Xenopus tropicalis: one gene and its partners. The protein of the gene in region 3 purifies or fractionates together with the protein of the main gene of each other region. This does not show direct contact. Links are inferred from orthologs where the notes say so. Each region holds a gene or a part of one and is shown on either strand. Other genes may lie near its edges.

Region 1 (2,863 bases), on a different chromosome or scaffold from region 3:
GCTGCAAATTACCCCCTGTACACCCAGTCCTAAAAACGACTGTAAAATGTATAATCTGTAGTAACCTGGTACTTTACTATCTAGATTGTAAATTTTATGATTTGTGGCAGTTGACCAGTTATCTAGATAAAAATTACTTTATTCTACAGGATACAAAACATTATTTGTGTTCTATTTTGCATATTTTGTTATGCATTTAAATCATAGTACATTGTATATTCATATAAATGGTTTATTGTTTACCAGGTGGCATTCCTTGCTGGCCTTGCCGATTTGGAACAGTTATCAATCATGAACAATCCATGTGTGATGGCCACACCATCTATACCAGGGTTTGACTACAGACCTTTTATTGTCAGCTGGTGCTTGAATCTCAAAGTTTTAGATGGATATGTTGTCTCCCAAAAAGAAAGGTAAATAATACTGACTTTTTTCTGAATAAAGAGTGGGTTGCATAATATTTGCTTCAATTATACTTTATATGCTTTTTTTGTTCTTAGTTTTATGACGCAGGGCTGCATACACCACTGCATAAAAACAGATATTACAGGGACCTAAGCTAAAAAAATTAATTTGTATAAACTTACATAATAGTGGGATTGGCTTAACATCTCTTTTTGAAGGCCCATACTGTTAGCGATTCAGTCTGAATGGCATGTCTGACTGGTTTATTGGAATTGCTGCATGCCATAAGACTGAATGAGGACAAAGAGAAATTCATGTATAAAGTACTTTTACCATACTGAACTAATTAAAGCTTTTACTTTTATCATTAAAAATATTCTATATATTGCTAGCTTGAAAGCAGAATGGCTATACAGCCAAGGCAAAGGGAGATCGTATAGGCTTGGCCAGCACATTCCACTAGTCCAGTACCTGGCAACTGTGTGTCCTTTAACTTCAGCACATGGTCTTCAGACAGAAGAGGATGCAAAGTTGGAAAAAATTTTGAATAAACAGAGGTAAATGTTATGTACTGTGTACATATTAAATATAAACCTTGCAGGTAAATCTGCCGTATATAAATAATCCTGTATTTGCTGTAGTTACATAAATATACTACATGTTTGAAATTGTTTTGTTAATGTGCTCTATGGTTTGTAGTCAGTAATAATTTTTTTTAGATACTTTAAATTGTTATTTAGATTTTGATAATTCAGTTAGTTTTAAACTAATACACTGAGTTTTCTGGGTGACAAGATAATTGTAGATCAATTGCTAATGCTGTTCTTTTCTTGGCTAGATTGCACCAGAAGCAATTACTGCATCAAACACGCAGTGAAGGCTACCTCACCTCATCTACTCCCAATAAAAGGCTACCACTCTCACCTGAACAGCAAAGCCCAACACATGTATTACAGAATGGTAGGTAACTGTTTCAATTTGAATCCTAACTGTAATATGCCTTTTGTCAATAGTCCCCACATTTTTTCCCATGCGTATAAATCTTTTAGCAAGCTGTTTTCACAATGAGTATTGGATGAACAATCCCTTTTTAATGTATTAAAAAGGCATATGTATGGTTTTATAGAACAGAATAAAAAAACAGAACTTGTTTTTGTTTTCTTTTAGAACCCACAGTACAAGTAAATAATTGGCTATGGTCAAACAGTTCTGAGGATCACTCCTACGCTGTTAGAAATATCTGTTCCAGTTCCCCAGGGCCATCGCATTACAGTAGTCTTTATATGGAAGACATCCAGACAGATGAAGACAAACTCAACTGCAGTCTTCTTTCCTCAGAATCTACCTTTATGCCTGTTGCTCCAGGCCTTTCCCCTGTTTCACCAACAGAAGAGTTTAGGGTTCCAGCCATAAAATCTGACCTACTGCTCAATGAAACTGTGATAGAGTTTAACAAAGACAGCACTGAAATGCCCCCCACTGCAACTACAGAAATGTCAAAGCTAACTCAAGATCAGACAGCAATGCAAGATGATCAATCATGTGTCTATCCAGTTATCCAAGATGAGAATTTAGCAGAAAATATAATTCATTGCGAGACTTCCATTAGTGTTGAGAGTACGCAGATTTCAAATGGCCAAACATGTCACAGTATAATAATGAATAGTAAACAGTCTTCTGTTCTGGACCAAGATGCAAGCCACCTAAATAAAATAAACACAGCTGCTACAAAAATTCAATCCTGTTGGAGAGGTTTTTATGCAAGAAAGTATAACCCAAAAGTTAAAGATGTATGCTATGAAATCCGACTGAGCAGAATGCAGGAGCACATTGTATTCTTAACAGAAGAAGTCATTAGGTGAGTTTCTACTTGTTATTGGTTAATGTGTAAATACCATTTTTATTATTTACTACACTGACCTGCTTTGAACAAAAAAAAAAAAGAATTTTCTCAAAAAGCATAGCCCAAACAAATTTCTAGTAACAGCTATGTGCTCTATAGCAGTGACACAGTTAGCCAGAATGACTTCAGTTTTTGACATCCAGGATAGTAGTAGTTTTGATATCAATTACAACGGACCTCCTTGCCAGTTTTATTATTTGCAGTGGAAAGGGAAAACACTTGTAGCAACATGGTCTTCCAATGCAGTTACTGAAGAAAATTCTTTATTCTTTAGCATTGTTTTTTTAGTCAAAATTGTTTTTCCAATGACAGTAAATAAGTAGCTTATAAATCTGGTCCCTTGTGTCTGTGCTGTAGGCTAAAAAAAGAGAAAGAAGAGGAGCGAATACAAAGACTTGTGCAAGGGGAAGCCGTGAGGTACCTTTGGGAACAGGTATGTTTTGAATTACTTTTTTACTCTTTAACAATTTACGTACATTATATTGCAAAATATAATATTTTCCAGTGTGACTAGTGTAAGATCTCATCACACTGCATAATCACGCTCTGTGTGAT
Region 2 (3,662 bases), on a different chromosome or scaffold from region 3:
CAAACTTGTAACTCCTCAAAAGCTTAACCTTGCTAGTTTACATTATATAGGATACATTTCTCTTCTACAGATTTTTAGGATATAGATAACCTCAGTTTAAAGTTGTTCAATTTGAAAGGCAAAGTTCAAATATTAGAATGTATTTTTTCTTGTTTTTAAAACAGGTGGCACAGCTATCCTCTGGTAGCAGAGATTCACGTTTTTTGCGTGAAGAAATTAGACAGCTGGAGGAGCAGTTGCGTCAGAGTGAGAGAGAATGCAAAGATATGGCAAATGAGTTGGAAAGGGAGAAACAAGTTAATGAACAAGTAAGTTATATCAATGACCACCTTCCTTTCATTTGTGTCGGTATATTTTGTGAAGCTAAACAGTGTTGTTATTGGAAGATACTAGGTCGTGTGAACAAAAATAAAGTACATTTTTGTAAATGTTTTTTTAGCTTGGAGACAAAAAGTTTTGTATTGTTCCTGTCTAACTGTAATGTTTTCATACCAAAGCAGATCCCATTTGACAGTGAGATGTAGTTCCCACATTACTACTATCTCAGTCTGGTACTTTTATTATTACTGTGATGTCCTGTGATGTGATTTTTTAGTGTTACTGTTCCTTTAAAAGATCAGAACCCAGGAAAACTTCCCTTTTGACAGTGTGTTCATTGTGCCACTAATTTTTACTAACTGTTACATTTTATTCCATTTTTCTATTGCCAGAGCCTTTAGAATGAATCTTTCTCGCTCACAATTACTGCATCAGTTGCATGCCAATCCAATTTGATTTCTGGTGTGGAACTTGACATTCTATACACCCTAACATTGAAGGGCTCTATAAAAATATATTGCATACAACAGCTTATATGTAAACCTCTGCTTCAGCTAAATAAACCATTTTAATAAAAATATACTAATTTAGTAGTATGTGCTATTGGTTAATCCTATTTTAAGTATTAAGGACCAACCTCATGGTCCGTACTATTCAGGGTGCACACAGATAAACCATGGGTACACATACATGTTCATTCTTATGAGCCAATTAATGAACAAAGTCCTGTGTTTTGCTCCTACACTTCTTCCTGTACAGTTACAGTTAGAGCACCATTATTTCTGATAAGGCGAACTCTAAAGAAGCACAAAGATCATCACAAAATAGTGGTTCAAGGTATATTCCAGTTTGGTAAGATTCTATAATAGGCCTCTTTATATGATATAAACCAGTCGGTTGGTTAATCATCTGTTCTGAAGGCATCGTTTTCTAAATATCACCACCTGGAAATTCCCCTAAGGAAAAGAGCACAAAATGTACATTTAAACAAAAAAGAAACTGATCAGCAGTGAAGGAGCAAATCACATTTTGGGGCATATTTATTCTAGTGTGTAAGCCAACATCACTGGTGATGTGACCCATAGCAAGCAATCAGATCTTTGCTTTTGTTTTCTAACTTAAATGTAATTGCTAATTGGTTGCTATGGGCAATATCACCGGTGATGTTGGCTTACACATTACAATAAATATGCCCTTACGTTTGCATTTGAAAGACCATAAAGAGCATGGTTAATGTGTAAGCCAATTGCAACTTTACTGTGGTGTAATTTCTAAAATGCTTTTGAGGAAAAAATATATTTGTGTAACAATAATGCTTTAGTGCTGTTATTACTGAGATGCATGTAACAATTTTTGTGCCAGAATATAACCATATTTGCAAGTCAAATGTTATCAGAGAATGACTATTAACAATAGGTAATGTGTGGATTTTTTCCTGCAAGCGTCATTGCAGCAGCAAGCGGGAATTGCCCTGGTGCAGTTGCTTTTGATCTGGCAAAATTAGCACAACTGCACATGCATTTTCTCAGAGATAAAATGCAATTGCATGGAAGTTCGCTTGGCATAATTTCCGATGTACGGTGTGAGTAACGCATGCCCAATTCTTTGGGAGCAAGTGTGCTCCTTCTATTGGTGCAGGGTATGAAGGGAACCCTGGAGCTACTGCCTGGTCAGAAGGTGGCAGTAGCTCCAGTGTTCTCCCTGCGTGACTGGGTGCAGCAGTGCCTGATTCAGAATGGAAAGCAGGGAGGACTGAGCAGCACTAAGCACAACTATATGGAATTGTAAAGAGTGCATTTTGATGCAAGTAGGGTCTGCGTAACAATGAAAATAAAAAGTTAAAATGAAAGTTATAAATCCAGCTATTTCATTATTCACTCTTTTAGCTTGCCCTCCGAAATGAAGAAACTGATAATGAAAACAGCAAGTTAAGAAGAGAGGTAGGTGCTGATTAATTCTTAATTTGTGTGTGCTTGTTTGTTGAAAACCCAGCAGGATATTATTGTTTGCTTAGATAGTACTTAAGTGGTTTGAAAAAAATAATCAAATTCATTATTGTTCATTTTTAATAGAAATTTTTTGGAAATGACTGCTTCATTTCATTGTTTTTTGGATAATGGGTTTCTGTATGATTCTTATCTATATTTTTCTCCAAATAATGTTTGTTTTCCAACAGCTAAATGCTACTTGCTTATTGGTAGCTATGAGCAACGAGACCAGTACAAACTTTACACCTTCTGTTAAATTACACTGATAACGTTCAAACGTGGAATCATATAACAGAGCATAACACTGGTGCAGAAAAGGCAGGATTCTGTTAAATGTATTGATTGCAAACAAGAATGGAATGTGACCGAAATGTTTAAAATAAATCAGTATTTACCAAAAAGAAAAAATATCCTGTGTTCATAGCAAGGTTTTTTTTTCCCCAAAGTGCCTCAACCACTGTTAGTTGAACTCAGACCAATTTAATAAATATTTCACTTGCAGTCTCCCTGGCAATTTTTTTTTTCCGCTTTCCAGCTGTACTGTTTCTTCTTCTCCTTGCTGGACAGAAGGCTTACTCCCAGCCCCACCCCTTATTCACAGGTGATGATCGCAGCTGTGGTTGTCCTTAATAAATAAGCCCTCGTAGGGCATAAACACTGCAAAATGAGCTTATATTTTATATTTTACCACGTAAATGTCGAGCATTGTAGTTGATAAAGTGGCAGCCAGTTAGTATGCACTGTTTTCGTGTCTGAGTCTCAGAGTCAGACATTCTGTTGAGGTACAAAAATAATATTGAAATACAGTTATGGGACCTGTTATCCAGAATGCTCGCGACCTGGGGCTTTCCGGATAAGAATTCTTTCCGTAATTTGGATCTCCATACCATAAGTCTGCTAAAAATCATTTAAATATTGAATAAACCCAACAGGATTGTTTTGCCTCCAATACGGATTAATTATATCTTAGTTGGGATCAAGTACAAGGTACTGTTTAATTATTACTGAGAAAAAGGAAATAATCAGAATTATTTGCTTATAATGGAGTCTATGGGAGATGGCCTTTCCATAATTTGGAACTTTCTGGATAATGGGTTTCCAGATAAGGGATCCTATACTTGTACCTGTATTGCTCAGTCAATGGATATAGTTAGTAAACACAGTTATCAAGAGATATATCCATCATCAGATCAGGTGAGACATGACAATTTTAGGTGAAAATGATGTCCATAAAGGCTGCAAATCCAGAAGCAGCATTGCTAGATTTTAGGCATCTTTTCTTTCCAGTTAAAACCACATACCTGTATTATCTAAAGCAAGGTAAATTATCCTTTTATTTTTCCTTTCCTTTATATT
Region 3 (3,365 bases):
TCTGAGTTACCAGCAGCTAGAGCTTCAGCAGGGAAGCTGCGAAGACCAAGCTAAAATGGCAGCTGCTATCTTAAAAAAACGGAGGGAACTTCTAGGGCTGTTTACTCGCATACCTCCCCGACTGTCCTGATTTTCACTGGACAGTCCTGATTTTAACAGCTCAGTCTGCAGTCCTGGATTCTTACTGAAAAGTCCCTCGCTTCCCTTTGATTTTCTGCACTGAATACTAAAAAAAGATACAATGTTTCTCAAACTTAATTAAAAAACTAGCTTTTGACAGAGAGCCCAGAAAAATTAACAAGCTGCACTTAGATACATAATTACTAAGACTTGCCATTTAAAGCGCAATTTCACCTTCATTAGCAAAACTAATAACACGCAAAACAAAACCCCCTGAAATGTGTTGAAACTTTAACCTGACAAATTTTGTAAAATGGGAGTGGTATTTAGGGGGTGTTGTCAAAAAAAATGTTGCCACACTGTGCGCCATTTCGTTTTGTCCCTCTTAACATTTTTCAAATGTGGTATGTACTCAGGTATGCTAAAGCTGAAGAATAGATAGTGTTCTAGCTTGCATTATTGTGACTAATCTGTAATACAAGTGACCTGCGATAAATTTGCCTAAAAGAACACCCCCAAATCCCTCTGAATTGTGTGCAAGGGTAGCATGTACAGTACTTCCTGAAAAATGCTCACGCAGACAACATATTTCCTTTTTTTTTTTTTTTAAATAACACAAAACAATGGCACATTAACAAAAAATTTTGAATTTCAGCAAAAATAAAAGTATCGGAGATATTTGTAGATTATGCATTTGTTGGGTATTTGAAATTTTTCTTTGCCTGTACTACTGTAATGACGGGTAAAAAATGTATGTAAAAGGGATCCTGTTATAATATCCGTACAGGTATGGGACCTGATATACAGAATGCTCGGGACCAGGGGTTTTCCAGATAAGGGGTCTTTCCGTAATTTGGATCTCCATAACTTAAGTCTGCTAAAAATCATTTAAATATTGAATAAACCCATTAGGTTTGTTTTGCCTCCAAGAAGGATTAATTATATCTTAGCTAGGAATAAGTACTCTGTACTGCTTTATAATTATAGAGAAAATGGAAATAATTTTTAAAAATTAGAATTATTTGCTTATAATTGAGTCTATAGGAGATGGCCTTTCCGTAATTCGGAACTTAATGGATAAAGTGTTTTTGAATAAGGGATCCCATACCTGTAGTGCTGTTATTTTGTATTGGAAATGTTTGATTAACTTTAGTTTGCTTTGCCTCATCTACGTATTTCTGTCCTTTCAGTTCCCATGGCTAAATAAGCCTAAAGCATCCTGGCACTGTTGTTAGAAAAGGTCTGTCCGATAATAGGGGTCATTTAGTTACTGCATCACTGTTGTGTTCCTGAAAATTTCTCCACAGCCAGTTGCACAAAAAATCTCGTTAACAGCACTTGCTTCAAAAAGCACAGCATAGTTACACTTGGCGCCTCTTGGTGCTACCTGCCTTAAGAAATGTTGTATATTATGTAATTGTATTTTATTTTGTAGGATCTTAACTATGCTTGCATTTTTAATCTTACAGATATGTGCATAAGCCAATTAATCCAGATGACCCTCCCATGGTTGAACAGCCTAAACCACTCTATCCATATAAAACTATCGGATGCGTCTTCAATCACAAGCGTTTTTTAGCCAATAGCCAGCCTTTAGATGCTGTTGAAGTCTGTGTTTTTGACCTGCATGATGAATCCAGGTGGAAACCCATGAGTGAGGAAGCTATTAAATCTGTCTGCTCTCCAGGATCGATTGCTTCACTTCCTCCATTTCCCCCACTCTGCGGCTCTTTGCTTGATGCTGCCACAGAAAGCAATGAAATTGAGCTGCAGCTCAGAGTGCTTGTGTTGGAGCACAGAAAGGTTGGTTTCTGCACAACTATGTATCACAGAGTAAGGCTGTATTATACATCTGGCCAGTTTGTTGGGTATACTGTAATATAAAGATGAACCCAAATATACAAAACTTTATTGCTTTGTTAAAGGACTGTGGTTGGCCTGGGCTGGTACAGGAGCACAAAACCTAATTTACAACATTTCTAGCTTACGTCTTTAGTTAGGCTTTAGTTCTCCTTTAAGATGATACAGGTATGCGACCTGTTGTTTCAGAATGCTCGGGACCTGGGGTTTTCCGGATAAGGGATCTTTCCGTAATTTGGATCTCCACAATTTAAGTCTGCTAAAAATCATTTAAATAATTAATAAACCCAATAGGCTTGTTTTGCCTCCAGTAAGGAATAATTATATCTTAGTTGGGATCAAGTACAAGGTACTGTTTTATTATTACAGAGAAAAAGGTAAATTATAATTATTTACTTATAATGAAGTCTATGGGAGATGGCCTTTCCGTAATTCAGAACTTTCTGGATAATGGGTTTCCGGATAAGGGATCCAATACCTGTATATTTGTAAAATGCAGAAAAAAAGATGCACTTTTATTGTTCTACATTATTGTATAGCTTCTTTATTTTGCTTCTAAAGAAACCTGTTATCGTTCAATTAAAAAAACTGTAAGCCGGGATTAATTATGTTGGGAATAATGAAAATCATATCAATAGATCAGACAGCTCATAAAAGCCAAGTAGACAGTCATGAATGCCTAACCTTCACTGAAAGCATTCACGGCTTGTGTGTATGTTTGCCTTTACTTTGAAATTGTGTTGTGAGCTAAGTTTCTTGGCTGCTATATATGTATTCAGTTCAGTGCAAGGTAAGAAATGTTCACTCCTGTATAATTGTCCCTAAATGCAGGATCTTGGTCTTACGACTGTTTGGGATGACCAGCTTTCCTACCTCCTGTCTCCTGCATTAGCTTCATATGAGATTGAACGTACAACAGGAATATCGGCTGGCAATGAGGAATTTCAGGATTGCATAAGAAGAGCAGTTCCAGATGGCCATACATTCAAAGGATTCCCTATCCACTTTGTACACAGAAATGCAAGACGAGCTTTCGCTACATGCCTACGGTAAGCAGTGATATTTCCTTTTTTTTTTTTATCTGTTGCGGCTCTACTAGTCATATTCTATACACCTACCTATAAAATTGGTATTTTCATCCCTTTCAAGCAGGGCTGCCATCATAAATCATGGGGCCCCTTACAACAAAATTTTTCTGGGCTCCCACTCCCTGCCCCCCCCCCAGTGACCCCTCCCATCAGTACAAAGGACACACACATTGGTAGCCAGGGGCCCCCTAAAACATTGGTAGCCAGGGGTTATGTTTTGCATTGGTGCCAGGGCAGGGACCCCCTAAAACATTGCTAGCCAGCCCAGGGACCCCTAAAACATTGCTGGTGCTCCCC

The links.
Region 1: the proteins of cep76 (region 3) and cep97 purify together in Homo sapiens (co-immunoprecipitation; 4 studies listed by BioGRID and IntAct, with this or other methods). This does not show direct contact. The link is inferred for Xenopus tropicalis from reciprocal best matches to the Homo sapiens genes CEP76 and CEP97.
Region 2: the proteins of cep76 (region 3) and cep290 purify together in Homo sapiens (co-immunoprecipitation; 5 studies listed by BioGRID and IntAct, with this or other methods). This does not show direct contact. The link is inferred for Xenopus tropicalis from reciprocal best matches to the Homo sapiens genes CEP76 and CEP290.

The regions. Positions count from the first base shown.
Region 1 is NC_030678.2:101,955,145-101,958,007, forward strand, and holds part of cep97 (centrosomal protein of 97 kDa), read left to right. Parts: intron 1-246; coding exon 247-413; intron 414-797; coding exon 798-962; intron 963-1,243; coding exon 1,244-1,365; intron 1,366-1,572; coding exon 1,573-2,263; intron 2,264-2,665; coding exon 2,666-2,741; intron 2,742-2,863. UniProt on the Homo sapiens protein: Acts as a key negative regulator of ciliogenesis in collaboration with CCP110 by capping the mother centriole thereby preventing cilia formation. Required for recruitment of CCP110 to the centrosome.
Region 2 is NC_030679.2:54,381,895-54,385,556, reverse strand, and holds part of cep290 (centrosomal protein of 290 kDa), read left to right. Parts: intron 1-164; coding exon 165-308; intron 309-2,204; coding exon 2,205-2,258; intron 2,259-3,662. UniProt on the Homo sapiens protein: Involved in early and late steps in cilia formation. Its association with CCP110 is required for inhibition of primary cilia formation by CCP110.
Region 3 is NC_030682.2:103,543,261-103,546,625, forward strand, and holds part of cep76 (centrosomal protein of 76 kDa), read left to right. Parts: intron 1-1,589; coding exon 1,590-1,923; intron 1,924-2,811; coding exon 2,812-3,029; intron 3,030-3,365. UniProt on the Homo sapiens protein: Centrosomal protein involved in regulation of centriole duplication. Required to limit centriole duplication to once per cell cycle by preventing centriole reduplication.